4 linked regions of the Drosophila melanogaster genome follow. The protein of the gene in region 1 interacts with the protein of each later gene in a pairwise test. Each region holds a gene or a part of one and is shown in the gene's direction. Other genes may lie near its edges.

Region 1 (7,611 bases):
TTACCTGATAGGCCGTGTCGGGCAGAACCAGTTGATCAATCTTCATCGCAGGATACGGCTTTCCAAAGAGGCTAATAAAGAAGACAATAATCTGCGGTGTTATGCTAATGGCGTAGTCTCCCTGATCCGCGATCTTCGGTCGCAGCCAGGTGGTCAGCGCGGGGCCTTTAGGAATCTCCGCGGACGTTCGATTGGTGAACCGGTTGATGGAGAAGGCCAATTTCTGTACTGACATCGCTGGGGTCTGCTGAAAGGTAGTCCATACGTAGTCATCCTTTTCATGGCTGCCAAAGGAAATTAAGTAATGCAGATATAGTACATGATTATATATACAAACTCGGAGGTCTTGAGTACTCGCATGTTGCTCACGGCATTGGTACCCCTGGGATGCGCCAAATTAAGAATGAAGGGAGCGAGGAACGTGCGATTCTCGAAACAGGGAAAGACTGTGTTGGCCAGATTAGGAGCCAGTTGCGTGACCGCTATCCACTGCGGATGATGTTTGGAATCCATGTAGCCGCCCACAAAGTAGCCACTGGCGCGGGACAACTGGCCACTAAACTGGACAACCAGCGTATACTCCTCGCCCAGCCAGAGCATACTATTGAACACGATGCCAAGTTGGTGGACGCTGCTAGCTTGCCACATTTTGCGCACCGTCACCCGACCACCGGTGTTCCTCCGGACTAGCAACACGTTTTCCCCCACTTGTAGGCCATTATTACTGAGGATAATCGTGCGAGTTTCTCGCCACACGCGCAGCCGGATGATAACCTCGCCGCTGAAGTTTCCACTCAGTTTCAATGGTTCCACCTCGGTCAGCAGACTGAGATTGTAGTGCAGAGGACGAAGGTTAGACGCAGTTGCCCCAGTACCACCTATAGGCAGGCATAGGTGCAAAACAATCAAGTACCAGGGCAGCTTTATCATTTCTGACGGGCTGATTTAGAATGATCAGAATTCGATGGTCAGAATTCGACACACTTGATCGCTTTGAACGGCATGACGACTGCTCTCCCGAAATACACTCGGAAACGAATATTATTTTAAATTAAATACAAATGGCTTGATTGGCTTGATGTACATACATATATAAAAAAATGACAAAAATTGTAAAAAATTGAGATGCAGGATCGTTGTAAAATGTAACGGTCTTGGGGTGGAATACGGAAAGTTGTCAGTTGATTGTCGTTTTTGACCAGTAATCAAAGTAGCTGAAATATATTTTTAAAATGTACCGTATTATAAATAGTTAACTTCGCTTAAGGATGAACAATTTTAGCTTTATTTAAAGCTTTACCATAAAGATATTTAAAGCTTTCGTAGCGCCACCTGTCTGCCACAAATGAAGACCCACTGCACCCTTGCAACCAGCTGAGTGGTAAGTTGTAGGGTGGATTTCGATTACGGGACTGCGCCTGCGCAGGGGTGCCTTTCTCTTGTCTTGCTCATCGGCTCTCTCGTGTACTGTTATTCTCCCGCCTGCGAGGTTAACACGTTTGCAAATGTCAAAGCCATGACTTCAGCGTAAGTTCCTCGTCCGTTTTAGTTTCAGTGTGTTCTCAGCATTTGGAGCACTTCGTTTAACCAATACGGTGCGCACACAAACACGCCAAAAACGCCAATTAAACAGATATACGATAATAAACAATATTATTTAAAACCTAACCGAATTTGTGTAAAAATCGTGGATATTAAGGGCGTTTACGGTAAATGTAAACGATTTAATTTCAATACATTCTTCCGAATTTGTCTTCGATAATTAGAGACTTAAATTAAATTTCCCCCGAAAATTCTGCGGCCCATAAACGCGCGCGTGTTCGCCTGATTTGCCAATGTGTTCGTGCGTGTTTCTTTTATGTGTGTGTGTCACTGTATGTTCCCTATGTGGGTTGTTGTGCGAGTGTGTGGCTGAGAGAGTACTTATTATGTAAAGTGCTCATCTTATTGACAGTTGTCAGTGGCTAGTTGCGCTGATTTCCGTGCCGATTGCCTTTGACCAACTGCCAAAGTCGGATGGCTTCAATTTGCTAATTAATCGAGTGCGAACGCACTTAAGTATGCTCCAGCGTTTAGCGCACGCACACACATGTACAAGCATATTGTGTGTGTCTATTTTAGTAGCAACATGTCTTTGGCAATCGTACCATATTCAAGCAAGAGAGAAAAGAGAGAATGAGAAAGTTTGGAAAGAGCCCTCACAATTTACAAATTTTTATTATTTTGACTTTCCTCTTCACCCTTGTCATCGTGCAAGCGTTCTTTTGCCCTTCGAAATGTCAAAATATTGCAGACAAAAGTCTGTGCTCTGCACAACATTGCCAGTCTGAAATACTTCTTCCGTTAGTCACATGTTTCCAACAAGCTGTCAAGCTGTAAAGAAAATTTGATGGTAGTGCATGGTGTCCTGTGCAACATATCTGAATGTATTCATTAAAAATAGCAGGCGATATTTTAAATCTTGTTTCATTAATTAATTGTGTACATATTTATTTGCTTTCTGCTTTGAATTGACATTGCCAGACTAAAATTGAATGTCAATTCAAATTGACCGCCACTTGTCGCGTTCCCCACATGCGCCACTCTCGCTCTCTTTAATTTTCTCCTTCCCTCTCTTGTTCTCTCTGTTGACTATGGGAAACAGTTAGGTTAACATACATAAGTTCTGTTAACTTTGGTAGCTTAACACTTGTACCCTTTGCGTATTATTAACCCATAAGTAATTCGAACTTAACTTTATGACATATAATGTATATGTTTAAAAAACAGTCTTTGGATTTGGAGAAAGACGTTTCATTTGTATTCTTTAAGTTTTGCTAATTATTTTTACGTAATTATTGATTGTAACTATTTCAAGGAAAGTAATTTTTGTCTTAAGGGAGAAGAGGAACTATTTTTTTTTTTGAATGAAGTTCTTTCATCGTCTAGGACTAAAATACAAACAGCTGAATCAATGATATTAAGTAAAGCAGATGTCACGGATGTAGTGCAGTTAAGGGTTAACCTTAACATCATCCCGCTGTTGCGTTAACAGCGCGTAACGGGACTGCCGCTCTCTTTGTCCAGCCCCCCTCCGATCGACCAACACATAGACAGCGCTCAGTTGCTGGTCTTGTTTGGCTTGGTTTAGTTTTAGTCCTTCTTTGAACGTGCTGCCGACGAGTCACGAATTCGCAAGGCGTACGCATGGGATACCGACTCCCCACTCTTCCAGTCACATACTTTTTTTTCCAGTGTTTGTGCGCCCAGTGTGCGTGTGCGAGTGTGCGTGCGCGTAGATGTGTGTGTTTTGATGAGTGTGCAAACAGCAGGAGGAAGCGAAATAAGAAATAACACAAACCCACGCTTAATATGTATTATTGTACTCAACCTTCTGGCCATTTGCATGTGATGCGAAGCTATGTGCTTACAGCTGTTTAATTGATTCCCCGATTGCAACTCTTCGCGATCTCCGCTTTCGGTTTTGAGTTGTCCCGTTGAACCGCTAACTGTTTAACCGTTAACCGATTTGCCGTCCTGTGTGCTTGTCGCTCTGTCAAAGTGTGTGTGTGTGTGTTTATTTTGTCTTCTTTTAGTTAATTCATCGTGTAGTTTCTCGTTTTTTTTGCTGTTTCTCCTGACAAGTGATATTGCTCTCTCGCTCTGAGTCAGCAGCGCCTGTCAAGCGGAGGGTTGTTTTTTTTTCCCTGGCCAGCCGCTCCCCCTCAATCACCGCACCCACCCCCTTCGCTCAACTTTTGCGCCACGTTGCCTTCAAAACTTCATTTCCAACCACTTGCCGTCGCCGTCGACGTCATCGCAGCCATACAACAAACCACCGAGACACCACCCCCACCAGCACCCCCCCTCATCTGATCCCGGTGTCATTGGCACTCGCTTACAGTTTGTTTAGTTTGCTTTTAAGTTGTGCGTTGTCTGCAAAATGATAAAACAAAGTATATAATAATAAGGACCAAGGGGCATGGCAAATCAGTTTACGTTAATTTTGTTTTCGTACTGCCCAAATAGAAAGAAAACCAATGCAAATACAAGACAATAAGTGAACTGAGAACCGCTGAACGCTAAGGAAAAAACAAAAACCCAAAGAAATAAAATAAACGTTGCACCCACCACCGCCTCACGCTCACCGCTCGCCCGCTAGTTTAAAGCTAATGCCACCGCCCACCACCACTAGAACTACTACTTCCACCACAACCACTAGTACCACCACCACCAAGAACCACAACCACCAACTACCAGCCTCGATCTGAACCACTTCGCAATCAAATAACAAGAAAAGAGTTAAATGTAAAAGAAAGAAAGGCAGAGTCCAGATTCCGAGTCCACTTGTCCAAAATGTCGTCAAATGTTGAAAAATGTGAGCTCCACCAAAAAAATGCATTACTAGATGTGTTCGTTCCCGTAATATGTGCATTTAGCATCCCTCTAGAACCTCTAGCGTAGCTCTATCTATTTCCTCGATAAAAAATCAAAAGACGTAGCGCCCATTCTCTATTAAAAAAATAAAAATAACTTAATAACTTACTAAGCAACCATAGAATCATTACCCGATTTGTCTTGCCATTTTTACCACTTTAGATCTAGACTGTTGACAACTATTAAAAATAAACCACACTCATTTTTGTTTTATACTAGCAAATAAGAACTATAACTATACTTTATATCGGTCTGCCTCTCTCTTTCTCACTCTATCTCTGTCTCTGTCTGTCGCTCCATCTCTGTCTGTCTTTCTTGTTCTGTCTAGTTAACATGCCTTGAATCGAACTTTTATCCACTCTGTTAACTTCTCCTGCCTAAGAAAACAAACTTTCCCACTCGAGTCCTTGAAATTTGGGAAGACCGACTGAGAATAACATCTGAAAAAGTGAAGTTCTCAAGATGGTTCCTGTGCGTTGGCACTCGTTAAAACTTCCACTGATTGGCTGGAGTCCCGATTGTAAATAGAAGCCCCATTTCTACCAAATCCTTGAGTTTCTATTAGATGTTCAACCATTGCCTGCTTCTTAACCAACCTGCATGCTCGAGAAATCATCAAATAACTAAAGATTATCGATTTATAATTTGAGAATGTTGAACACACACAGACACACACACATAATGATTGGGTCGATCGGTGGATCAAAATTACACATTCTATTGTACGTTATCCCCGTAAAGTTACATAATATCCGTTCCATTCCGTTTCGTTTCGTTTCTCGTTCCTCGTAGTTCCCAAGTTCGTTTGATGCGTTCGTTCCATCGTTCCTTCGTTGTGTTTGCCAAGTTAAATTTTGTTGTACTCGAATTCCCAACTGGCCAACTAAACCAGAGTTGGAATTCGCAATTGGCAGCCAGAAGCCAAAACTGAACAGAAAACCAAACAGCAGCTACCAGAAACAAACAACAATATAAATTAAACCTTAACCCAATCTAAATATATATATATTTATATATATATATATTCTTCCAAACCTAAAGTGTGTCTAATCACCAATTCTTAACGTCAAATTCTCTTTAAACTAAATAATCCACACACGAATCACACAAACCAAAAACCGAAATCAAAACCAAATAATCGAATCGAAATCGAAATCGCAGACCCAGGCAAAATTCGCATTGACCACCAAGCATATGAGCTTGTGGCTAAAGGTAAGCTATGAATAGTCAATATTTCAATGTTTATTTGTGAAAGGAAATCCGTTAAATGGAGAGATTATTACTATCAATTCGGCTGCAGTGCAGTGTTATGAAACATTTAAATTAAATGATTAGCTTTAATGATTTACACGCCTAAAGTTTAAGGTATACGAGTTTATGATATTTTGGAGTTGTGTAAATCGAATACTTTACACAGCAATGGCTTCAAGGATCTTTTCATAGAACATCTGCTAACAAACAACTGTTAATGAATATCCACGGCATCTATAGTTTTTATTGACTTTCCATAATGAACTGAACTCTTCTGAATAAGCCATGAATAATTTCCACTGCTGCCCTTATTAATAAACCCTTTAAAGCCTCAGCTGGTCGTTAAAACGGTGCAGCAGTCGCTAGTCTGGGAAATCCCCGATTGGCTCAAGGGAAATTCCCTCTAAATTATTATCTACGGTCCCTTCCTGGTTCCGCATTGATTTGTCGCATGTCCGGATGTTGTACGTTCCTGCCCCTCACACATCTTGCCACATGCAACTATTCATTTTCAATTATCCTGTTAAATTAATGCCTTGTACTACTCGTCTGGCCCATTCTCGACTTCCTTTCCCAGCTGCCAGCGCATCATACCCACATATCCTTTGTCTGCGGCATGATTCAGCTCAGCTCAGCTCAGCTATCTGTGAAAAGTTTGTTTTTTTCGCCCGTTGCTTTTGTTGCTGCTGGCCTGGCGACAATTTCAACGGCAGACGGCGGCTTGGCTCTAAAATATTGGTTATTAGCATAGCCCGGGGGTGTTTGAGGTATAAACAGGGGGGTTTGGGTGTATAAGGGAAGCTGACAAAGCAGCCAACGCTTTTTGTTGCCTACTTTTTGGGGTCAGGGACTTGTTTTGTCAGCTTTCAGAGGGGCGAGCGCCTAGCAAATTGCCAGACACACACAGAATCGAGTGTGGTATGATGGAGGGGCACTCTGTATAGATAGAACCCGCTTATACATCTATTTATCCGCTACCCACAAGTTTTATTCAGCCCCCTGCTGCCGCCGCTGCATCTTTTGTATTGTGAATCATAGCCAAATGCATTCGACGCCATGCCATCCCATGGCCAATGGGGCTGACAATGCACAAAGAGCCAGAAGAAAGATGAGTGGGTGGTTGGGTGATTGTCGTGGCTCCACTCGCTTAAGCCACCCATTAGCCGCCAGCCTGGTTGCTGTCGTCATCGCTCTCCCTCTCATCATCATCGGCGTCATCATCCTGCCAGCCCAGCTATCCTTTTCATCCTTGTCCAGCTATCCTGGCCTTCCCAGCCATCCCGCCATTGGCCACTGACAATTCCGGCTTTTGTTCAATCGGTTCAGTTCAGCGCGAGCTAATTTAGCGTTAATCGAAGTGTATTTACCCTGGCCACCCATTCCCACCATCATCACCATGAACACAAAACAGCCCTATTCATCGTTCACTCTACTCTGATTGCATTAGCTTGATGGCTGCATTGGCTTGTCACTAATTAATTTTGAATCCTTCAATTTCTTTGCCAATTCCCCGATACCCAGTCAAAAAACCAATGATATTAATTGACTAGTTGGGGTTACAATCAGCAAGGGAGCTAATACTCCATGAAACAGAAATTAAAACTCGTGCTTAAAATCTACAGAGTAACAAAATCAACATCAACTAAAGGATGTACTTCGAATACTGACAACTGCATCTGTGATTGCAACTGTTGACGAAATCCTTTGAAATGTTAAAAATGTTGGCCACTTTAAAGAAAGAAATGCTTTCCTCGAAACATGCACAGACTTACATGAGTAATCGCATTGTTTTAATAAAATAATATTCCACTTTGTCAGCACTTTGAGCATTGTAAATGTAACAAAAGTTGTGGTCACTTGAAAAGTCTCTAAAAAATTGTCATAAATTTCCAATCCGATCGTGTTCTCAATGCACAAATCGTTTTGTGACTTTAAGTTGCTTAA
Region 2 (10,553 bases), on another chromosome or scaffold:
GGTGTGGTGAATGGTTGGATGGGCTGCTGGCGGAGGGGGTAACACGATAATGACCTCGTTGGCTTCGATTCCCTGAGTGTGAGTGAAATGCCGGGACATCCAATGAGCTTTCACCAGCGTTGCGCATGTCCCGAGAGAATCTCTCGACCAGAGAGAATTCTGCGAGAGGACTCGCAGCTGGAGGATATCTTCTGACTGCCCCCCATTCCGGCCCCAAATAGATGTGCTAATTTAGAAATTACAATGAAGTGCAGTCTTCAATGAGTTTGAGTTTGAGTTTGGCTTTGATTCAATTTGTCATTTCACACTTGGCCTAAATGGCTTTCGGTTGCATGGGGCGGGGTGTTGTAAGAATGGCTCCTACAGCTAAATTAATTGAAAGTGTTGAAGAGCACAGACAAGTTGAGCTTGGATGGGAGGAAGAGGTCCTGTAAAGCGACAATATTGATTCGCAATTACTTACACTCAAGCGCATCAAATTTATAATGTGCTATTGTTGGGTAAGGCATTTGCCTAATAAAAATATATGTACTGATGATTTTCCAAGACTACTATTTAGCCTTTCTCAATCACCCATCAAAATATAAACCATTTGATAAGAGATTACCTAACGAATTATAGCTACTTAAGAACTAATTCCTCGTATCTTCAATCCAAAATGGGCAATCAGATTGCCCTTGGATAAAAAAGGGCATGTCCTGGGCTGGATTGAGGATCGGCAATTAGTGAGGAAGGAGCCCTTTTTTCTTCTGTTTAGCAGTCCTAATGAGCCGGCGATTACGACTAAGTGCGCTGATGATGCTGCATAAATTTTGGTGGCCGGCGAGCACTATGCATTCCACATTAGATTAGAGATTCCGAGGCTGTATGATCTGGGCAGGAACGCAATCCTAAGTCTCGAGAGATGCCCTCTGCAGCTCTAAATTAAACGAACATGCAATCGGATTGCTGAATGAAATCTGCATAGGGAATGCGTCCTATGAAAATATGATTAAGCGCCTCGGCAGACTAAACCTAATCCTGCGTCCTGTTGAGTCCCCGTGTCCTGTGGCGTCATGCATCTGGCACATTAATGAGTCCGGTCAACGCTTTGTCCCGCTTACTTGTTCACAGTTTTCGCGGAAATTACGTGTGCACTTTTCCCGATTTTCCCGGCTGAAGGTGCCGCGATCCTTGGCTTTGTTTGGGTTCGGGGCACAAAGGAATTGTGTAAGTTTCGACAAATTAGAGACCATAAATCCCGGTCCCTGCTTTGTTATCATTGTAGCCGGCGTTTTAGCACACCATGTATCCTTCGGGCATTAGATGGTTTTTCTTTTTTCGGGAACCACTTTTGGCCATTTTTGGCATCCTTTTGTGTTATGCAACCTGTGGGTGGACCAGGGTTCTGGACTAAATCTTGGATAGAGAGCCCTGTCTAAACTGAAGCTCAACGCAAATCCCAGATCTAAGTGGGTGATTTAAACAAGGCTGAGCTATTTTCGGTTATTTAATCGTAGCAAAACCAGGGCCTACATATTTTTAGATCCTTTTTGGTTGGTGCTACTTAAAATATTACATTTTTATCATTAAAAGGAAACATGCAGAAAATATAAGATTGGTAGGAAATCTTCATAGTATTTAGATAAATATATGTATTAAATTTATTTATGTATTATTATTATTATGTATTTATGCACTGGCTATTAATTAAAATGATTTGAATACTCATTAGTGAAATCAGTTCCGCACTGTACCTGTTGCTTTTAACGAAATTCAATGCGGCCGAAATCCTTCGAGATGAGATCAGTTTAATCAATGAACTTAGGTTTCGATCCTGCCACAGTTCCTTGCTAAGTAAAGGGATTCATTGATCGTTTGGCTTGTTCAATGAAACCACGGGCTCATTCTCAAGATCACGGGGATCCTGGCCATAAATCTATCGCCGAAATGGAAGCGGAACTAATAAAAGAGGACCTGGCAAATGGCCGACTTGATTCAGGTACCAGTTTGGCAATCCCGTGAGTGGTTCAACCTGTTTTGTGATTTGTGGATGAGCCGGGAAACGGGAGGGAGAGGAAACTACTGTGAGAGAGAGTGAGATATATATAAAGGAAGAGGGGGAAGGGTGAAATAGTTTTTAACAAGCGAAATTTGTGAAATAAACACAATTAATGAGCAAACCATGTTAGTTACAACTACCGAAAGAGAGTGCATTAAATGGGTAGGAAAGAGAAAGGTGTCAAGGAAAAGTACCAGAGAGATTTGAAAAGAGAGACAGAGAGAGAGAGAGAGTGGAGGAGGCCAACACCCCTAAGCCAAAACCAAAAGCTACCTGCAACCCAAACTCACACACACCGAGCGAGCCAACCCAACACACAGATACACGGCACTGAGATACTGAGATACTGGGGGAAACTACCCCTACAGCAGGAGAGAGAGGGAGAGAGCGAGCGTGTGCGAACGAAAGAGACGGCTGGCATGGCAGGACATGGGCGAAAGCGAAGGATTGGGAACTGTGATTCCGATTCGGATTCGAGAGCGAGCGAGCGAGCCTCGCCCATTTCACTTGCTAGCGAAAAACAGGCAACGTATTTAAACCTACGGGCGGCAGGAATCGCACTCAGTCGGTGGTTGTTGATCGTCACGAGCACTACTCACTCGCAGTTATTCACTCGATTCGATTCAGCTCATTGCAGTTCGTCGCAGTGGCTGTTCCGTATTCCGTATCGAAATCGCATCGTTTAATCGACAAATTTACCCGATAATAGCAATTAATTAAGCTAATTTTCAAAGCGTGCTCAACAAATATTGTGACATTAAACAAAAGTTGCCAAAAACGAAAATCTGGAAAATCGCTAACAAAATAAGAAAAAACCAACTTGTAGCAAGTGAAGTAAACCAATAGAAATCCGTACGGATCGCGAGTTGCTCTTTTGGTGGAGCTATGATGACCACGACGACCTCGCAGCACCATCAGCACCATCCAATCATGCCGCCAGCCATGCGCCCCGCCCCCGTTCAGGAGAGTCCTGTCTCACGCCCCCGCGCCGTCTACAGCATCGATCAGATCCTGGGCAATCAGCACCAGATCAAGCGCAGTGGTGAGTTTTAGTTTAACAAATATAAACTGGGGATAACTTACTGGAATGTAAATGTAAGGGGATCCTTTTTACAAAAATTCATCGTTTGCCGTCGGCGATCTGCGTTAGAGTTTCTTAGTACATCACACAAAAAGCTTAAAAGGAAACATAATCAAGATACAATAATTGCATTTTCTTAGAGAATCTTAATAAATTGTTTAGCTTAGTTTGATTTAAAAAATCCAATATCAAAATTAATTTGTGAATAGCTATGGGCAGGCGTAAACGAATTAAAAATTCTAAATTTGAATGTATAATTTGAATTGATTACGACCTATTTAGTTAGTCTAGCTTGTTAATTACAGCTTTGAAATATTTCTCACACACATCTTAAACATAATGAAAACATCCTGAATGCGTTACAACTTACCACCAGCAGGGCAAAATATCACGTTAGACTTCATGCACAGCCAATGGGCTCCCCCCCCAAATTTGGTGCTCCAAAATCCGAACCGTCCTCCTACTCCACTGACCACATCAAATAGATCCTTTCGCAAAGGAGCCGGAGCAGTGGAGAGGCAGATTGACATTGCCATCCATATCATATGCAAATTGCTCGCAAGGGACATTTTATCATAGTTGGGAAAGGTGAATGAGGGCAGTTCAAAACTTTCCGACAAACACCGACCTCGAACTCCACCCAGAGAGCAAAAAGAAAACATATCATGACAATGGGAGTTGTTCGGCATGTCGGAACTCTTGTTGTGGGCGTGGCCAAGCTGCAGGAGGCAGTTCGCCCAAGGATCTACTTGAGAAGAAAAAAAAAAACACTGTATCAAAACATATCTGGCCGGATATATCGCATGGAGAGCGGGAACGGGCAATTGCGTCATTAGACCCGTAATTAGATTGAAGTCCTCGGGAGAGGTGGAGGCTGGAAATTGCCTGGGCTGGATTCAGTGGAATCACGGCACCCATTGGTCCAGGTTGCAATTTGGCGACAACGAGCGGCGTGCGCACCGCAGGACACTGCATCCTGTGAGCCTCGTAATTTGATGCTCGCTGGAAATTACCTTCTTGCCACATGGGTCTGCGTAAATGTTACGAAATACGATAAGGATACAACCAGGACACGGGCGTCCTGCTGAGCGGGGACGTGTCCTGGTGCCATTGTGAATCCGATTAATTTGAGGTTCATTAAAGTTTGATTACACGTTTTGCCTTGGCTCGAAAAGAAACCGTTTTGAGTACTCACCAAATCGTTTCGTGTGAAAGGATATTTATATGCTCGCTGCCGTGGTATTGGGGTTAAAACTTATTCCGGCTTTATATTTATTTGTTATTGATTGCCAAATCAATTTGCGTAGCTTTCGAGCACTTGAAGGATTTGAATTTTATTCGAGACTGAGACCGTACAAAAAAAAGGGGGTTAAAATTGAGGATATAACTACTTCAGCCACAATTGAATGAACTTCAATTTCTGCAGCTGCCGTTTGGCTTTCGATTTTAAAAGTCAAACGCGAAACTTTTTGTTTCCCCACACACTCGAGTTCAATTCGAAATTGTTTAACTTTATTTCCCTGCCACTTTTTGTTTTTTATCGCAGATACACCCAGCGAAGTGCTGATTACGCATCCCCACCACGGCCATCCGCATCACATCCATCATTTGCACAGCAGCAATAGCAACGGCAGCAATCACTTGTCGCATCAGCAGCAGCAGCAGCACTCGCAACAGCAACACCATTCGCAGCAGCAGCAGCAGCAGCAACAATTGCAGGTTCAGGCCAAACGAGAGGACTCCCCAACGAATACGGACGGCGGCCTGGACGTGGATAACGACGACGAGCTGTCCTCCAGTCTGAACAATGGCCATGATCTCAGCGATATGGAGAGGCCGCGTAAAGTTCGAAGGTGAGTGCAGCGACAATCCGCTTAGCAGATCAAATCGTATTTACCCATTGTCGGGCTATTAAAAAACATGCCAACAAAGAGGAGGGGGGCAAACTCTTATCCGACGTATCTAACGTGCCGCCCTTGCCGTTCCTTTCGATTTTTCACAGATCTCGCACAACATTTACAACATTTCAATTGCATCAGCTGGAGCGAGCCTTCGAGAAGACCCAGTATCCCGATGTTTTCACAAGGGAGGATCTGGCCATGCGATTGGATTTGAGCGAAGCACGCGTGCAGGTAATTGAAATTGGTTTTCGATTCGCACAATTATTTTCGAATTAAGTTGCAGTTCAACTCGCTCAAAATGTATCTGTATTTTCATCTAACGGCTATGGGCTTTAAATATTGCCATCGCAGTGTCCGCTAATAAGCGAATAAACCACTTTCAGAGTCTGGGAACTTGAATGGCTAGATAAGAACGGGCAAAACAATCGCCGAACCCAATTTGTAAATGGTCTTTGAAACACTTAAGCCCCACTTTGTATACAAACACGCTTAGTTCGTTAGTCGGAGGAGGGTTGAATACGGGTGAATACGCGTCCCTTTTTCTCTATAGAGGGTTGGCACCAAGGACATTAGATATTGTGATTTTCCAAATGATTAAATCGTCCGCGCTCACATGGTGTTGGTATTTTTATTAACTCTACTTTCGGGTAAACAATTAAAGTGGCTTTGGGTGCTGACTGGCGGCAGGACACGCGGCCAAATATACCCGACTACACATGTAATTAGGGTGTCCTTTCGCCCCGAATCGCATACGATTTGATTTCAGTTGTGAAACGCTTTCAAACACTTCACATCTGATTGAGCGATTCGCTCAATTTCGATGCTGTTTGTTGACAGGGAATAAAAAAGCAGGGAAAAGTATGGCCTGGCACAAAAAGTGAAAAAAAACAAGAAGTGAAGAGAATGTGAATGTGAAACAACTTGACCTAAGCACTCACATAGGGATTACCCGCTTCGAATACAAATTGTCCGTTTCACGGTCGTCATCCGCATGCTCACATCCTCACATCCGCATTCTCATCCTGCGCGTCCTTGCACTTATTCGTATCTGTTAGCAGATTAACTGTAATTGGTCATTGATTCGCATATGCAGAGCGTTTCGGGTACTTGAATAGTAACCGACTTAGAGCTGCCCGATTTTAATACATGTGTTATTTTTTTTGCTGAGCTGCTGATAGATACAAAAGTATCCAAAGCGTAATCCCCGCTTGTTTTGGGGTTGGTAAGTGAGCAATTATTTTCGGATTTGCATGCTCGTTGTGTGGGGCATTTGGTGAAAAAAAAAGGAGTAACCAGCGACTTATCTGCCGGGTTAAGTCAAATTTTTATTGTCGAGTTGGGGTATCGAAAAAAGCGAAAAAAATATTGAAAGCGAATTTGTATCAATCTGGAAATTGTTGAAACAAAGCGTTTTTGAACGCTTTATGCAGTCTTTTTAATTGGAATATATGCAAAGAACTTTCACATTTGAAAATCCAAAATAACGAATTCTTATACAATTTTTTAAAGTACACATTTTTTTTTTGAGTTTACAAACCGCCTCTTCCAGTTTTTGCGACAGTTTCTTCTCTCGTTTTGATCGCACATGTGTGATAAATGCTGAACGGATATCCGCAATTCAACTTTTACTGCCTGGCTGCTCTGGCACAGTGGTTTAAGTTGTTGCCATAATAATTGCTGCCAACTGACAATTAAAAAGCCCACAAAATCGCACACACACACAGCACTTATGCTGTGAAGGGGTTGGGGGTGGTGGGTGGCGTTTTCTCAGCAGAGACACACACAGGACACAGGACAATAATTGGCAGCAATTATAGCAAGGAAATCGTTGCTAATTTACTACTCGCTCAACTGCACACATTGTTGCAGATTGTGGGTGGCCGTAGAAGGGGGTTACATCTAAATACAGGGTGTCTATAATTGCAGAGCCTTCTCTATTGTCTCGAATTCATCAACGAGCGTTACAGACAGTTGTCAAGTGATTTCAATTTACAAACAATTAATTTTGCCATCAAAAACGAGAGCCTCGGCTCGGACTGAAAATTCGTCGCCCCCAAAAGGCGGAAATGTATGTGCAGCCAACGCCTATTTTGTGGATGGCCTAGGGGGCACATTTGCATAGGGGTGAATTTGGGTGGCTGCGAGTTTGGTCCACCCCAAACCCAAGCAAGTGTCGAAAAATGCATAAGACACCCTTTTGTCCGACGAGCGAGACGGGTAGCGACAGACAGAGAGCGTTGCAAATCAGAGCAGAACACTTCCGATTGGATGCCATTGTATTTGACCTAACCCTCCACGGCGTCCAAGTCCTTTGGCTCAGACACTCGAGGCTGGAGGCGGCAGAAGGAGCCATCCAAGGACCAAGTGCTTCCAACTTTGCGAGCACACAGATTGATAGATTGGGAAATTGTTCGGTTTTTGGTCAAAGTCAAAGCAATTACAAGTCGCTTGCCAAGGCGCTAGTTTTGTAGAACTAATCAAGTTTAGATCGAGGGATAGATACCCTTTAGAAAAGTATGCTGGTTTTTGAAAAGTATACAGGTTGTATACATAAGTCAGAAAAAGGCATATCCTCTCTTCGGTAAATGATATATCAGATAATTTTATGTTTTTTATTACCCCTTTAGCTTATAATAGCCTTAAATCCGAGGGCACCCAAAATTTGCATACCTACAACTCCATCTCTAAACTCCCTTCTTTTTCGTGCACTTGCAGGTGTGGTTCCAGAACCGTCGGGCTAAATGGCGCAAACGTGAGAAGTTTATGAATCAGGACAAGGCCGGTTACCTTCTGCCCGAACAAGGTGAGTTAACCACCCCCATCTCACGAATCCACCCCATCAAATCCCAGCCATCACCCACCCAACCAGCGATACGCATTTGATTTGTCCGCAAATTGCCAAATTACGTGTGCAACATAATTAGGAATTATGTCGCTTGTGTCGCTTGTCTCACCACCATAACCACCGCCACCACCCGCTCTCTCTGACTTTCGACTAACGAAATCGCCCTTTTGCCTTCCGCTTGCAGGTCTGCCGGAGTTTCCGCTGGGCATTCCCCTGCCGCCACATGGACTTCCGGGTCATCCGGGCTCGATGCAGTCGGAGTTCTGGCCCCCGCACTTTGCCCTCCACCAGCACTTTAATCCCGCTGCAGCCGCTGCCGCCGGCTTGCTGCCCCAGCACCTGATGGCGCCCCACTACAAGCTGCCCAACTTCCACACCCTGCTCTCCCAGTACATGGGCCTGAGCAATCTGAATGGGATCTTTGGCGCGGGAGCAGCTGCAGCAGCGGCGGCAGCATCGGCCGGCTATCCGCAGAATCTATCGCTGCACGCAGGACTCTCTGCGATGAGCCAAGTTAGCCCGCCGTGCAGCAACAGCAGTCCGCGCGAGAGTCCCAAGCTAGTGCCTCATCCCACACCGCCGCATGCCACGCCCCCAGCGGGCGGCAACGGAGGCGGCGGACTGCTAACGGGCGGACTGATCTCGACGGCCGCCCAATCGCCGAACAGCGCGGCAGGTGCCAGCAGCAACGCCTCCACACCCGTCTCCGTGGTCACCAAGGGCGAGGACTGAACGCTGTTCCGTGATATTTGGATTCGTTATGTACATATATAGATACACGCATACTTGTAGATATCTAGTTTTATTCATGGTCACATAGCCCACGCACTGTAAGATATTTGCAGCTTTGTCGATTGCCAAAGTTAACGTAGTTGTAATGCCTAAAGAATTATGTATCTGTAAGCGATCTTCGAGCGAACATTTTGGTAGTCTATCCACTAAGTTTAAACTGTCGAGAAATAAACGATATGAAAAGATACTTGTTGCGTTTTATGGCTGGTTTGAAGATATGCTAAAAAGTAAGATAGATTGTTGATCAAAGAAATGAATTATTTCACTATAAAGATCTTACGTCAAGTGATCTTAAGTTATCACACAAAACATAGGATGTGTCGTTTCTTTTGTACATTCCTTGTAAACAGGTCTTTCAAATTTTCTAGCCTTCTTCACATATTTTCATTTTCAATGCCAAAATTAATCTCCCGGTTAACTTCCGTTAACGGGAAGGACTTTTATAATTTTCCACAACATACATACATACACCGATCTACCCGCCGCGCGGCAAATTAATCGCAAAAAGTTTGTACCTTAAGTAGGGCTTATGACCCTACAAAGATCCATTATGAATCGCTCAAATGCTACAATTGATTGTGTACAAAACTCGACTCGACCTTTCCTTTTTGCCAGAGTCAAATGAAAGCGATCTTGGGCCGAATATCGAGGATATTCGACGACCTACCCCGACAATCGAAGAAGGGGCCAGAGTTCAAATCGTATAATAATCTCGATATTATGTCAAAATTGCCGAGCGCAGGAAATGTTGCATAACATGTGAAGAGCAGGACAAGGAGCAGGAGACCAAGTAGACCAAGGAGCCGGAGAACAATGGGAATCCAGAAGGAATCTATCGCATTGTGCCAGACAGCCGTGTAGGAAATGCAGCTCTATGGGCTGGATGTGTCGAAGCCGAAGGATTCGCAGCGTATTCAAGTGGTGGTGGCTGCACAGAGGAACCAGACCAAGTCCTTTCATTCGAGGCCGCATGCAGAGCTAAATGCTATATTGATATCTCGTAATTTGTGCCATAATTACTTTTTAATAATTTCGCACAGCGCTCGTCCGCGCTGCAGGATATCGCATTGTGTGCGCGATGGCCTCAAATTTAATAATAAAAACGCCGTCAAGTTCCTGTTCGTTCGATTCTGTCTAGATTTTCACCGAGATTCGGATTCGCATTCGCATTCGGATTCGGGTTGCAATTTGATTACACTTACCACTCTCAGTGTTTTTTTTGGGGATGGGGCGAGGTCAGAGCCAAATTCCCTGCACAAATAATAATGAGCGAAATGCGCGACTTAACGGATTTGTCGCAGTCAAAAGGATGTGCCCGAAAGGACGAAGCAACCAGGACCAGTCAAAAGAAGCTCTCATAAAACTCATATGCAATTGCCTTTTGTGGCCGTCCTTTTGTGTACAAGGTAGCAAAAGACATCCGGCGAATGGAAGGTCCTGGCGACGAAGTTATACCCTTTCCTATCTGATTCTTCCAATCGATAGAACTTGGTATATTTAACCAAAATGGTTAATAAGTAAAGCCATACGAATATGTCAGGAAAATATTATATAGCACTTAATATTCTGTTACAAGGACATTTGATTTAATCATCACGACGCCTAAAAGCAATGTAAATACTTTAAATTAGATAAAAGGAAGGGTATTCAAGTGGCGCTGCACTTCCAGTCGCCTTTCATCTTGTTTCTATCAACGAAAATTCAATAAGTTGAAGTAGATCTTTTATTTGTGCAAGTGTTTGGCCAAGAAGCAGTGGTGGGTGGCAAAAAAGTGGGCGGGGTAAGCCGCCCATCGACAATCCGGGCCACCCAAAATGTCCTTGTGTGTGTGTGTGTGTGTATGTATTTCTCTTCGTGTGTCTGTGTGTGTGCTCATGGAATTTCACTCAGTGT
Region 3 (7,648 bases), on another chromosome or scaffold:
TGTCTATTCAGCTCCCTCCATTCCAAATCATCCCTCCGCCGAACTTGGCGGCATTTCAATTACGTTTCCCTCGCAATCAATCACACTCAGAGTTGGAAAAGCTCTCCTCCACATCCTGGCAGCCAGAGAGTGGAAAAACATTTTGCATTTCCTCCTCCCAGAGTCCTGGTAAGTGATTTGCCCATTGATCATTTGTCTGAGCTATTGGACATTCCGATTTACTTCTGATTTGATTTGGGTGTTGTCAAATAGTGTCAGAGAATCTGAAAAATAATCTAAAATATAGTTTATCTTCTAAATGGATATGGATATTTATCCCTAGTTCGTTTCCATATTTAACCAGTTGTTTTTTTGGGCCAACATTAATAAATCCCACTGGAATCCAGCACTTACCTCGTACAATTTTCTTATAATTTGTTATGCCAGTTGCTGGCCAAACTTTTAATTCAACAGCAAAACCCGAATGAATAAAATTATGCCAAGGCAAATGAATTAACACTTTTGGGTGTGCTATACACTCCTTTGGGCACCGATCCCCCGGCCCGGCCTGCCACACCCCCTCCAGCATCACTCGGCCGCCCTGTCACCGCTCAACTTTCAGATATAATTCCTGGCTGAAAACTTTTCTCCCGAGGAGAGAGTGCAAAAGGGGAAGGACGCCGGCTCAACCGGAACTTCCGTGCACTGCTCAAGTTCTGGGCCGTCGCTTCGCCTTGGCTGAAAAGAATCTCTTCCGCTTTCCCCCCTTTTCGCCCCTTTTTTAGGGTGTTGTGGGCGTGGCGGCAAAATAAATTTGTATTGTTTTGTCTGGGTGGCGAGAGGCGAGGCCAAAGAGCAAACAATGCGAGCTGCCAGAGCTCAAAAACGGCAGCCACTAAATGCATTACGTGAGGGGCAAAGTGGAAAGGCGGTGGGAAAAGCGGGGAAAACTCGGTGGCGAAGCGAAGCGGGGGGATAGCGGCGGGAAAACTGGATGCCGTCTCCCTTTTGCGGCTACACTGTAACGGCTTTTGTGTGCGGGTGAGTGCTGGCTTTGGCATTGTTTTCCTGCACGGATATCCTTAATGAGTGGAACTGGGCTACCGCTTCTCGAGCAGCAGCATCACAACAGCTGCCACCCACAACCGTCATAATTACCCCGCCCCCTTCGCTGGACCAGAACACCCTCCACCATTTCCCCCACCCAGCTGACAAACACACTCGAGCTCCTTGGCACTCAAGAAACTGAAAACGGGGAGCTGGCGCTGGAGAAGTCCTGGCGGGGGTCCTTCGTATCTCTGACCACATGAGCACATAAATCTTCGGGCACGGTGGCAGTGGCGCCCCCTGACGGACGGACCCAGCTTGACGCCCAAAACCACGCTGCCAAGGAATGCGAAAAGTGCCTTCAACTTTTTATGAAATATGGGTTGACAGACGGCTCATCTGTCATCTAATAAATGCATTTAAAATTAAACAAATGCGCGCATAAGTGCTGCAATCAGTTAGACATTATGATAGATTGGTAAATTTATAAATAATTATTTAATTTATACATGATTTGGTAAAGGAACTCATAATTTGTATTTATATTTGTATATGTTATGTCCTTTATAGTTGCTTTTGACCCACTGTGCACAAGCCCCATCATTATGGGCGTGTAATTATCACGATGATCACTTTTCAACATAACCAAAGCGAGGAAACTTTTATATTAAAAGTAAACTTATGACAAACGAGCAAAAGAAGGCCAGCTGGAGGAAAAGTGGAGTCCTGGACAGTGGAGTCCTGCCACACACGCGTCACATCTGCAAGAGTGTGAGTGGATGTGTGGGGGTGTAAGGATGTGTGGGTGTCCATTGTCAAGTGTAATTTATCATTCAGTCAACGTTCTTCGATTGCAGTTTATCTTCGGAACTTACTTTACTGGGTCGCCAGTGTAATTTCCCACTCCCCCCGCATCTTTCCATTCTGTCTGTTCTCCGGTTCTCCCTTTTCCCACGAGTAAAAGCAGAGGAAAGTGTACTAGGGGAGCAGCAAGGATATTCCCTCGGAGTTGTTATTGTCCTGGCCGTAGAATGAATGGCAAATCAGGAAAATCTGACCCCCAGGTTGTTAGTTTTCTTGCAAGGATTTTTAAAGCCAATGGGAGCAAAATAGCAATTAACATGGATTTTGAAGCATCCACCTCGACCTCAGCCATCCATCCCTCGCCCTCCCTCCCCCTGCTTTTCCATTGAGTTCCTCCTGGTAATAATCGGAAATAATTGAAGAAAGAGAAAAACAGCGGGGAACGGCAAAAAGAGAATACTTACCGGACTGAAAAGCCGGGTAGCGGGGAATGGGTCACATCCTTTGAAGGATGTTTGTGTGTGCAATTTGTAGCGTTTTAATTGTTGTTTATGCGATCTAGAATGGGGGCGAAAGGAATGATGTGGTGGGGACTCCTAGGGCGCGGGGACCCAAATGCATCACCACCGCAAGCCACTGAGCTAATTTTGATTGCGGTGCCTGCAAACGACAGGAATCAGCAGGTGAAAGACGATGTCGGCTCCCGAGATCCTAATTAACTATGCCACTGATGTTTGGTTCGATTCAGCAGATTGCCCTCAAATGCGGGTTAGCAGCAAGTTGAAGTGCCTAATGCCCCGGGGGAAAACAAAGAACTCGAAGTCATGTGAATAAAGTCAGGGGATTGATGAATATGTAGAAGGATATGAAAGCTATCAAATTAAAGTAATACTTGAAATGATTAATTATTTTGATATTAGCAAAACAATAGGTTTCAATCATGACATTGATATCTGTAATCAGCATCTATTAGGAGTGTCATTACTGTGCAACTGGAATATATCTTATCTGCATCGGCATTTAACGGCTATTTCGAAATATTCAAACTTACTCGCTGCTTTTCTGGTTCTCATTCAGTGAATATATTTTACCATTCTCTCACAATGTTGTAAGCATTCAGAGAGCGAAGGAATTCCGGTTGAAACTCCGAAAATGTTGTTTATTCGGCCAGTGCGCAGACTCACCACTTTTGCCGGCAGGATTCAGCAACAAATGTTTATGCTCGCAACTGTGATGATAAACAAACCTGACTGAGACCAGAAACTACAATGTTGAGAAGCCATTTCAATATTATTTATTTGTTTTTGGAAATTTTAAAAACCCTATTGATATAAGATAAACACCAAACTACCATTAGAAGGCTGCCATTTTGTTATAAAATTTACTAGTATGATTGTACTTTACGGAAACACATAGCATTACAAACATTACAGAAAGCCTCTTATATGATGATACCTCCTTATCATACGGAATTCGATTACTTTTCGTTTTCCCGAGCTTTCCCCGCTGAAACAGCTGATTTGCCTGCAGGAATTTACTCCGAAATGTTGCTCTTCCGACTTCCCCAGTTCCCCGAGTTCCGAACTGGCCGAGCTGCTCCGAAGGCCGGAACTCACCACCCAGCGAACATTGCTGTGGACTGTTCCCGGTCTCCGGATCTGAAGGAACCCCATATCGAGTTGGCCGTGGGACGCCGTTCAGTTGAGTTTTGGTTACTGCCGCCAACGGTTATCGAGCTGAAAGTGAGCGCGTGTCGAGCTTTTTTGGTGCCCAGTTGTTTGGGCCAGCTTCGTGGGCGACTGGATTGGCAGCAAACATAAACAAACGAAGTGCGAAATTGCTCGGAAATCAGCTAATTGACACAACGGACATGCGAGGGCCAGACTTTGGCCAAATTTGGCCTGGCCAAAAAGGAAGCGGAAGTACTGCGGCCGCAAAATACATTGTAAACTGCTAAACTGCAGGGGAAGTGTAGCGAATAGTGTGCGAATGGAAGTCGAGTAAAAATCAAGCAACTCGAATAGATATATATATCTTTATATCCCTGCGGGAGTCGCTCCCCTGTGTCTGTGTGCCGGTGTGTATTTGTGTGTGTGTGTGCCAGGAGTTGGGCTGGGCAAATAAGTGCTCGTGCTCAGCTTTTTTAGCCAGTTTATCTTAAGGCGAAATACTGTAAAAAATTGTAAAATGGATTTACGTTTCGTATTCATCGTTTTCCTGCTCAAGTGGACCCATGCACAAGGTAAGCTCGAATAAAAATACACAACTGGTGCAAAAACCTATCCTGGTCATGGACTTCCTTCCTTCCGTCCATCAATCCATCCTATCCTCTCCTGCGTTTGCCTGGCATTCTCTGTTTGTGCAGCTGCCACAAGCTCTGGGTTCTGGGCTCCGAGTGGGTGGATATGGATGTGGATGAAAGGCGGAGACGGGTGCAATTCAAGTGCAATTCAGCCGGCCTGCAATTGCAAATATGCCATAGAAAATTGCTCAACAGAGACAGAAGTGCCAGCTCGTGAATGCACGACATTTGTATAGCTCTGCGATCCCGTAATGAGTTGCATTTAACTCATCCGACTCACTTGGCCGAGATGTTTTGGGAGCCGGGCATATTTATGATGATTGCCGACAGGTGTTGAATGGCTCGTCCAAAGGCTTGCCAGAATGTTGGTTGTCAGGCTTGGATTCACCTGAATGCTGGTTTATTGATACGTAGACTTGACTGGGAATCTGCATTCCGGAGACAGACTTGTCCCAGAAAGATACATAAATACTCGGCATTAGTAAATGGATAAAGTCCGTGCTGATAGCTGAAGAAGCCACCAAAGCAATTTACTAAGACTTAAAACTTTGAATCAAAATGAGCTAAGAATAGACTGAAATATAATTCGGTTATTATTGATAAATCAAATGTTGAATAACTAAGCTTGGTAACATTTCACACATAATATTCCAAGTAGTAGAGTTATTGTGGCAACACAATTTCCATTAAATCTACACTCTGAATTAATTCCCTTGCTCATCCTGCCTAATCGCTACCAAACTTTAGTTGCCAGATTAGCATATTTCCTGATTTGCATTTATTGGCCTAAACTGGCAGATAACTTAAGGCATTTCCCGAATCGTTCCATCCGCTCAAACATGCTTATGCGTAATGCATTGATTACTTCCTCCCGAAAACTTTTGCCAACTATAATTTATAACTCTTGCTTATCTCACCAATAAGTTGTAGCCATCAAATGGGAATTCGTATGAGCAAAACTTTTGTGCCAGACGCAAAACAATTTCCGCTGCTTTCAGCCCAACAAATTAGTGGAAAATGTTCTGCCAAGAAACGAGAAACAAGCCGGGGATTCCCCTCGGGCTGGCTAACTAAGCGAAATGAGTATGAATTCGAGTCGTGGCTCTGAATACAAGTGAGTACTCAGGGGCATGGCTCAAGCGGCATGTTTTTGTTGCATAAAATATGCGCATTTAACAAGGGGCTTCCCACACTTTGCCCCAAAAAGCAAACATATAAATGTGGGCCCACAAAAAAGCATTTCTGCCCGGCCACAAATGATACAAAAGATTATTCATATTTTTCGGAGGTAGCACATATACGAGTATGTATGTATGTACATATGTACATATGTGTGTGTGCGGCCATGTTGCCGCTGTTCAATTTGCGTTTTTTACGCTTGGATCTCCTTTTTTGGTTAAGGGCATTTTTATTATGTAGTTCATGCATGTAAACGAATTCAATTGAATAATATCCTGTCATTTTGTTGTTACATCCTCTTCGGGCTTTCCATTATCCCCCCCCCCCCCCGAAATTCTTTTCCCGGCTGCTCCCCTCGTTTGGCATGTCAAAATTTTTATCAGCGCACAAAATCCGCCAATGCAGGATGAAGGATATGGTGGAGTAAATAAATAAATCCCGACAACACGCGTGTCCTTGTATCGCCGTCCTGCTCGCGCAGATCCTCTCGCCCGCTCCCACGCTACTCTCGAAAGTATGCAATAAATTTCGAACAAAAAATATATTGGCATTTTAGTGGGTTGGCTGCCTTCTGCTCGTGTGCGGTGTATCCAATAAAAGAAAATTAAATACTTTCAGCGAAAGATTCTTCTTTTGGGTAAATTAATCGTACCTCTGTATTCTGTCGGAGTTTCAGATTTTTTCGCGTACCCAAATATGGATTACAATTCACTAAGTGCCTTTAATTCGAGCTTTATTTATAAATATAAATACAATATTTTCCCATATCTGTTACAGCTTTTGGCCCAATTCGAATGCCAGTTTCGCAAAACGGCTCCCAGTCGTGTGCCATAATTTTCGTTTCCCAACTTTGCCCAAGTTTGCTTAATTTATAAATTATGCATTATGTAGACTGCGTTACCAGGCAATTATCATTTTCCCGGGAAATTGCTGGGTCGCTTGTTTTGCTCCTGGTCTCTCGCCCAAGAAAGTAGGCTACGCAAAATTAATTTCTGCTGTATGTTTTTGCCTGTGTGCTTGGCTCGGCTCGGCTCGGCTCTTCATGTGCGTGTGCTTATTTATTTGGCTGGGATTCGAGAAAGGACTCGGATCGGTTGTCTTGTATTTGGCCCTCGTGCCTGGCGGCTACCGAAAGCAAAGGGCAAAAACACAGGGCCATCCGCACGGCGAAGTAGGAAAAAGTTTGGCAGACCGGAATATTAATGAGTATTTAACCTAAATTGTTGCTGCCTTTGATAAGTGCCACGGAATATTCCCCATGTAGCAACGAATCTATTCTTGCCCCTTAGCCAGCGGCATCAATGGCAGACGAGAGAATTGGCCGTCTCTCTGCGGAATGTGTGGGCTTCCCTCGTAACTGAGGCATTAAATTACTTTAAAAGAAGGGGAAAAAAAGGGTTAAATTATTTTAGATGCTAGAACGAACCCCATCGGCTGCCTTTAAGACTTTCCGCCCAAAAACTCGAAGGACCTGCTCGAATTTTGCTCTTTTCCGACTTCGGGGTCGGTGCCATGAGAATAGGTATTATTTGGCCAGACTCGAGTTAATTGAAAGGACGAAGGTATTTATTCCTTCAGGGAGAAGGACCCGGTCGGCAAGTAATAAAGTAATATGGAATTAATCTGGAGTCCATTAAATATAGAAATATTTGAGAAATTGAAAGCCAGTCGGGTAGAGATACAGTATTTACTTGGCAGTTTATCAAGCACAGTGGCAATTGACTAGGAAAAATTTCTACATATCTATGGAAAATTCAATAAGAGAGGTTCACAGTTTTATTGAGTATATCAATATGTTGAAATAACTAACATTAGTTGAAACTACAAGCGAATTAGATAAATGAAACAACAAAGCTGTGCAAAAATATTTGGCTTAGTATAAAACCCATTAGCTAGTCGAATATTTATTTTAGCCAACTCCTACTGCTGTTTTTACACACACAATTTCCATGCAAAGCAATTACCAGTTTCCAGTTGTATTCACAACGTCCTGGCAAATTGTAATTTATCTTAGCCTTGGGCCAAAGGACAATTCAGGCAGATAGTCCTGTGGCAAACACACAAACACAGCCGCACATGAGCATGCGAGGGAAAATTTTAATTAATTTCAGCATCAATTGAACGGCTGTCATAATACAAATAGAGCAGAGATGCGCACAAAAACACACAGGACACTTGTTTATTTGCTTGCTGGTGCAAACGCACTAGGCAAACAATGGCCACAAAGGACATGCAGGACACCATTCAAAGCTAGCCCCATAATCGCCATATTTTGATTAACTTAATTAAGCGATTTCTCGATGTCGATGTCCATGTTTTGTGTCGGCCAATGCTAAT
Region 4 (6,330 bases), on another chromosome or scaffold:
AAGCTGCTGGCACAGCAGAGATCCAACTGACCACCAAACTGCTGCAAGGTCTGGGCATCGTAATCCTTGAGAGTAACAGCATGTGGCTGAAAGGATGTGGTCTGATATTGATCGGAAATCAGGGGCAACTCTTGCTGCAGTTGCTGCTGCTGCTGGGAAAGTTGAAGTTGCTGTGGATGTTGAACTTGTACTTGTTGTTGCAGCTGCTGCTGCTGCAGGACCTGCTGTTGCAGTCGCTGTTGCTGCAGGATCTGCAGTTGTAATTGCTGTTGCTGCAGGAATCGGTGCTGCTCCTGCTGCTGCTGCAACAGTTGCTGCTGCTGGGGAGCACATGGCGGTGTGTACTGGGGTGGTAATCCCGCAGGCGGTGGGTATAATCCACCGGGATAACCAAGACCTGGTTGTAAGCCCAAATTAAACCCCAACCGATTTGGTTGCGTATAGTTGAAAGCTGGCTCCAGTTGCGGCTGATGGCTTTGCTGTGGCAGGTGATGATGGTGATGCTGGGTGAGCAGCTTCTTCGGAGGCGACTTGGCGCTCACCTGCACCGTGTCGCCATCTACGTCCTCCTCGTCATCGTCCAGACCCCTGGCCACCAAGTCCTCCCTTTCGCAGGCCAAACGCGTGATGAGCAAACGGAAGCCACCGTTGGTTGTCCAAGGCGAATCATCGCTAAGGAAGCGCAGACGCAGGACTCCATCGGGGGTGTGATACTTTTTGATACCCAGCACCTGACCGCACAAGACCTCCATGTCGTCGCCATCGTTGTTCAGGCCAATGGCCAAGTAATCCCGACTGCAGTTCTCCGATAGCTCCAGCTTGAAGTCCAAGAACTGTATGTGAAACTTGGTGGGGCAGCGGTAGGGAGATCGCACCACATAATCCCAGCAGGTGTTCACCGGATAGTTGTCCGGATAGTTGGGCGATTCGACGAGACTCTGTCGCTGCCTGTAAACACCATGTAAGCCGCACTGGGGCAGCTCATCGTGCACAGCTCCCTGGGCTTCAAATGGAATGACACTCAGTACCAAGAGAAGGACTATTGGCAGCTCCATGTCGTTGTTCGTCCGCTGGTAACGCGCTCAAAGACGCAACTAACTCGTTGCGGTTCACGAGACATCGATGTTTGCCTGCCAAAAAATAATATTTTACATGGGTGCGTCGCAGGTTTCACTGGAAAACAATTTGCACTTTTGTTTGTGGAGTCGACAACAAAAGCATTCACTTGTCTAAGACTCTCTCATTCATAACTCGCACTTTAGTTCACTGAACCGCACGCAAAACTTTGGGGCGGACAACATGTTTTCGAGGTGCCAAAAGCTTCATAAAACTACCAATCCATTAGATTAAATTCCAGGCGGTACATCTTTTGGGGATGATTCATGTGGCAGGGGTTCTCTACTCGTTTACAATCATATCATCATCTTCAAGATCATATAGTTTATCATATCAGTAGAGTACTACAATATAATGCATAAACTAAGCCAAATAACTTTATGACGCGTGCTTATGCGAAAGTAAACTTTATTATCAAATTTACTTAACCGTGAAATCAAAACCTTTATATAAACACGAATATTATTATCTTTGCTAAATAAAACTCTCGCTTAACAAACAATGACACTTCAATTCCAACATAGAGTTTATCTTAAGCCAATAACCAAAAACGGAACTTACATAACTTGCCAACAAACATATGAATATAGCTATTTCGGATCGTGGGAGACCATTATGCATACAAGGCACGCTCCTAAAAACCGTGTTAAACAAATATATGTCAAATGTATATCTTAAAAAAGCGCGCACATATCTTTTGAAATATCTTCACCCAGAGTATGTATGAGATTAAACTGGATTAGCACTAAGCCACAGCTTCTGTAGATAGAAATTTTATGCAGAGAGTAGATTATTTGGCTGCTGAGCAATTTGACCACCACAAGATAGCAGAGAACATCTGACATTTTCTATATCCATATAATAAAACTGACTTAACACTAAGCTGAAGTGGTATGTTTAAATCCTCCAGCTAATAAATCGAGACTAAACGCCCTATCTTATAGTGATATATAATAGTATCTATATGTGTATTGTCATTTACTGTTTATGAGTATTTGAAAAAACCATTCTATATTTTATAGGTTAGTTAATAAATATTTTGATATACATATGTAGATTGGCTCACACGTACTTATGACCCACTACATAATAAAATTGTTTTGTTTTTTAATAGAATAATGGTTTATAAAAAGTTTAGACTCACACGGAAATGATAAACTCTTTGCAAATACAGCTTTCATTTTATTACAAATTGCACTCTTTCAGATCTGCAGTTGCTATGCCAACCTTTTATTCCCTTTACTAAAAGGGTATACTAGGCTTACTGAACAGTATGTAACTGGTAAAGTAAAGCGTTTCCGATTCTATAAATTATATATCTAAACTTTTGATCAGTCGAATCCATCTGAACACATTCTGTCACATTAGATTATTCCAGAAACTCAACTTAAACATGTGTATTTTTTAAGACCATTATCAAGGATATTAAAAATGGTCTCCTAAAATTTAATAAACAAAAGTGTCACATCAAATTTAAGACGTAAATTAATATTTTTTTTCTATGGTGAAATAATTGTTATTTTCCAATGTTGTGAAATAATAAATGTATCTTTTCAACGCACACATTTTCAAGGTTTTAATAATAATAGTGACTCGTGCGTGAATAAGAGAGAAATTAAGATTTTAAAAAAGAATAAAATTCAGAGATGTGATCTGTAAAAATTATTTACCAATTTTCATTTACCCCCGAAAGTGATGCTAATGGTTAAAACGGCATTTGCGACTTATCTCCTACGTAATATTGCAAAAATAAGGATTTGGTTAGATGAGTGTGAAGTAAACAAGATGCAAAGTTTTGGAGATAGAAAACATAGCCTTGAGTCTTGGTCATGTTTACTTGGCACCAGGCCGCGATTATCAGCGCTACTAGTCGTAATTTGAGTTAGACCTTTAATACTCTAAGTGAGAGTGATGATATACGATTTCCCAGCCACTTGCTTTCTACGAAATGCGCTAAAAAAAATCCCTAACTACACAAAGATTTGTGTTGTTATCCAGGTGTTCTGATATAAAAGGCGGCAAGGAAATTGATGGCATCATCAGTATCAAAGTGAGAGTGATTGCAGTCACAATGTTTGCCACGCCCCTCAGACAGCCAGCTGCGGCTAACCACCAGACCCCAAAGAATTCCGCCGGCATGGATGAGCATGGTAAGCCGTATCAGTACGAGATTACCGATCACGGATACGGCAAGGATGCGGTCAAGGTGCTGCATGTCAGCCGCAACGGACCCGTGCACGCCATCCAGGAATTCGAGGTGGGCACTCACCTGAAGTTGTACAGCAAAAAGGATTACTACCAGGGCAACAACTCGGACATCGTGGCCACCGATTCGCAGAAGAACACCGTCTATTTGCTGGCGAAAAAGCATGGCATTGAAAGTCCCGAGAAGTTTGCTCTGCTCCTGGCCAGGCACTTTATTAACAAATACTCGCACGTGGAGGAGGCGCACGTTCATGTGGAGGCGTATCCCTGGCAGCGAGTTTGCCAGGAGGAGACCAGGACCAACGTCAATGGGAAGTGCGAGAACGGAGTCCAAGGGAACTGCGACTTCAGCTCCATTGACAACAGATCACTGCACAATCACGCTTTTATATTCACGCCCACCGCTCTTCACTACTGCGATGTGGTTATAAGGAGAACAGGTTAAGTCAAACATAACTAAAGCAATAATATTTAAAACTACTAAATTATCACCTCCTTTACTGTTTTAGATCCCAAACAAACGGTCATCACGGGCATCAAGGGTCTCCGGGTGCTGAAGACGACCCAATCCTCGTTCGTGAACTTCGTGAACGATGAGTTCAGATCTCTGCCAGATCAGTATGATCGCATCTTTAGCACCGTGGTGGATTGCTCCTGGGAGTACTCCGATACCGAGAACTTGGACTTCCTCAGGGCCTGGCAAACGGTCAAAAACATAATCATTCGTAACTTTGCTGGCGATCCGCAGGTGGGCGTGTCCTCGCCCTCCGTTCAGCACACCCTGTATCTGAGTGAAAGACAGGTCCTGGATGTCCTGCCGCAGGTGTCGGTCATTTCGATGACCATGCCAAACAAGCACTACTTCAACTTCGATACGAAGCCCTTCCAGAAGATTGCACCCGGCGACAACAATGAAGTTTTCATCCCAGTGGACAAGCCACATGGCACCATCTATGCCCAATTGGCCCGGAAGAACATCAATAGTCACCTGTAGATCGATCTCTGATGTAGTAAATCTAAATCAATCTAAATCAATTTAGCCAATTCATAATTGCATGCGGCGAAGTTATATATGTATTTTAAATTATTTAAGCAAACGAATCATATGCTGCGTTCTTCTTATTTAAACAATAATAAACTAATAAAAAATAAAGTGTAAAAATGAATAAATCGATTGCAAAACCATATTTCGAGATCACCCTTGCCTTGGCTGAATAAATCCAAATTATATCAGAACTATTTTCTAAAATCCTAAAATGAGGCATCGTTCATAAAAAAAAATATATAAAATAAATTCCACAATTTTCGACCACTTTGGCAGTCAAAATTCGCAATCTAAATTCGAAATTAGCAAATAACCATTTAGCCACAAACAGCGTGACCATGACCAATCGACTGGCCTTGCACCACATCCTGACCACCCAGCTGCGAAGGGACTGGGAACAGGAGGAGAGCGCCAAGACCAGGCTGTCGCAGCTGTCCAGGAGGGACAGGATCAAGGCCTCGCTAAGATCGAGTCAGTTGCCAGGACGTTACCTGTTGCCCGACACCAGAAAGACCTACGACAATATGGTGGCCAATATTCACTCGACCATGAAGTGTAAGCTGTTGTGCTAAAAACTAACCAGAAACTTTCAAAACCAATCAATCATTTACTTAGCGGTACGAGCACCACGAAGACCACGGCCAACGGGGCCGCTGCCCACATCTGGAACTCCGAATCCAGTACCAGTAGTTGCACCACCACTGCCATCGAAACTGGTGTCCAAGCAACCGCAACGCAAGTCGGCGGGGCGCATCAAGGGTGGCGGCAACTCTTCGAAGGCGGACAGTGGCCATGGCATTGCCATCAAATCATTGGCGAAGGTCAAGGCCTGCATCAACCAGAAGCAGAAGAGATCGCGTGGCTTTGAGCAGCACAATCGCATCCGTGAAGTCATCCAACAGAAGAAAGTGCTGGAGACCATGTTGCAGCAGCACAAGAAGCTGCAAAGCGATCGACACACCATAGCGATGGATATCCAGCGAATGCGTGCCGATCTGGACAGGATTCGCAACAAGCTGGACACCTCGCTGCAGAGCCTCAACTCGACGCGCACCCTATTCAGTGCCGCCAACAAGGCGAGTCTCAGGAAGTCGACCGCCCTGCAGAAGCCGACGCAAAACATGGTGACCTCCACCAATCGCCGCTCGGGTGGCAAACGAAAGGCCCGGACCGTTGCCATTCCGATGAACCGGCAAAGTGTGCTGACCAACAAGGCCCCTATTCTCAAACGAAAAGTTCGGTGAAATGCAAAGTAAAAAATGAGAAAAAAAAATGATTTAAACTTCGGCAAAAAAAAAATTATTTTCAAAATAAGGCATAAACTACAATAATTGTTCTTTTCAGTAAAGTATTCTTTCACTTTACAAGCATAAGTACATAGAAAAATTTACTGATAAAATCTGTTACTGTTTAAATCTTTGACATTATAAAATAAATTTAAATTAACAAATTTACAATTTAATTAACAATTTTTTAGTTTAAATTCAAAGCCGTAAAAATCGATATGTTATCAATTGCTTTTAGTGTTGGAAAGCAAATGGCTAATATCAGCGAGACGTCTTACAATTCTCTGGACAAAAGGAACGGTCACACTGCTCATGGCGTCTGTTTTTCGCCAGCGGATTTTTGTTTTTAATTATTTTGCTTACCATTTTCACCGATTTGCCTAATTGTTCGACAACTGGGAGCCTAAGATGGGCTCCTCCAAGAAGCACAAGAAAAACAAGTCGGAGCGACGCGAGAAATATGAAGGTGAGTGAAATGAAAGTGCTGTGTCTACGTGAGCCCCTGTTGCCATAGGCCATCTCGCTCACACATTTTGCCGCTTGTTTTTGAGCATGCCTACACTTAGAAAAAAATGGGTGTACATTATTTGTCACAATTAATACAAAATGCATGGTTAGAAATAATCTACGCGTCTAAAGGCAGTAATAATACTATTCAGCACCCATTATAATACCTAT

Evidence for each region.
Region 2: the proteins of X11Lbeta (region 1) and hbn interact in a two-hybrid assay, tested with the Drosophila melanogaster proteins (one large-scale study listed by BioGRID).
Region 3: the proteins of X11Lbeta (region 1) and robo3 interact in a two-hybrid assay, tested with the Drosophila melanogaster proteins (one large-scale study listed by BioGRID).
Region 4: the proteins of X11Lbeta (region 1) and CG7164 interact in a two-hybrid assay, tested with the Drosophila melanogaster proteins (one large-scale study listed by BioGRID).

What each region holds. Positions count from the first base shown.
Region 1 is NC_004354.4:10,626,181-10,633,791, forward strand, and holds the start of X11Lbeta (X11Lbeta), read left to right. Parts: upstream 1-3,136; 5' UTR 3,137-3,235; intron 3,236-3,993; exon of another isoform or gene 3,994-5,208; 5' UTR 5,209-5,628; intron 5,629-7,611. Other genes in the region: CG9806 (uncharacterized protein), read right to left, coding at 5-284, 338-930.
Region 2 is NT_033778.4:20,952,961-20,963,513, reverse strand, and holds hbn (homeobrain), read left to right. Parts: upstream 1-2,604; 5' UTR 2,605-2,926; coding exon 2,927-3,083; intron 3,084-4,668; coding exon 4,669-4,975; intron 4,976-5,124; coding exon 5,125-5,254; intron 5,255-7,738; coding exon 7,739-7,826; intron 7,827-8,052; coding exon 8,053-8,600; 3' UTR 8,601-8,846; downstream 8,847-10,553.
Region 3 is NT_033779.5:1,252,874-1,260,521, forward strand, and holds the start of robo3 (roundabout 3), read left to right. Parts: upstream 1-3,543; 5' UTR 3,544-4,017; coding exon 4,018-4,072; intron 4,073-7,648.
Region 4 is NT_033779.5:7,776,931-7,783,260, forward strand, and holds CG7164 (uncharacterized protein), read left to right. Parts: upstream 1-4,534; 5' UTR 4,535-4,704; coding exon 4,705-4,921; intron 4,922-4,981; coding exon 4,982-5,610; 3' UTR 5,611-5,830; downstream 5,831-6,330. Other genes in the region: CG7179 (uncharacterized protein), read right to left, coding at 1-1,055; Uro (urate oxidase), read left to right, coding at 3,188-3,761, 3,831-4,315; Brd7-9 (bromodomain containing 7/9), read left to right, coding at 6,061-6,118.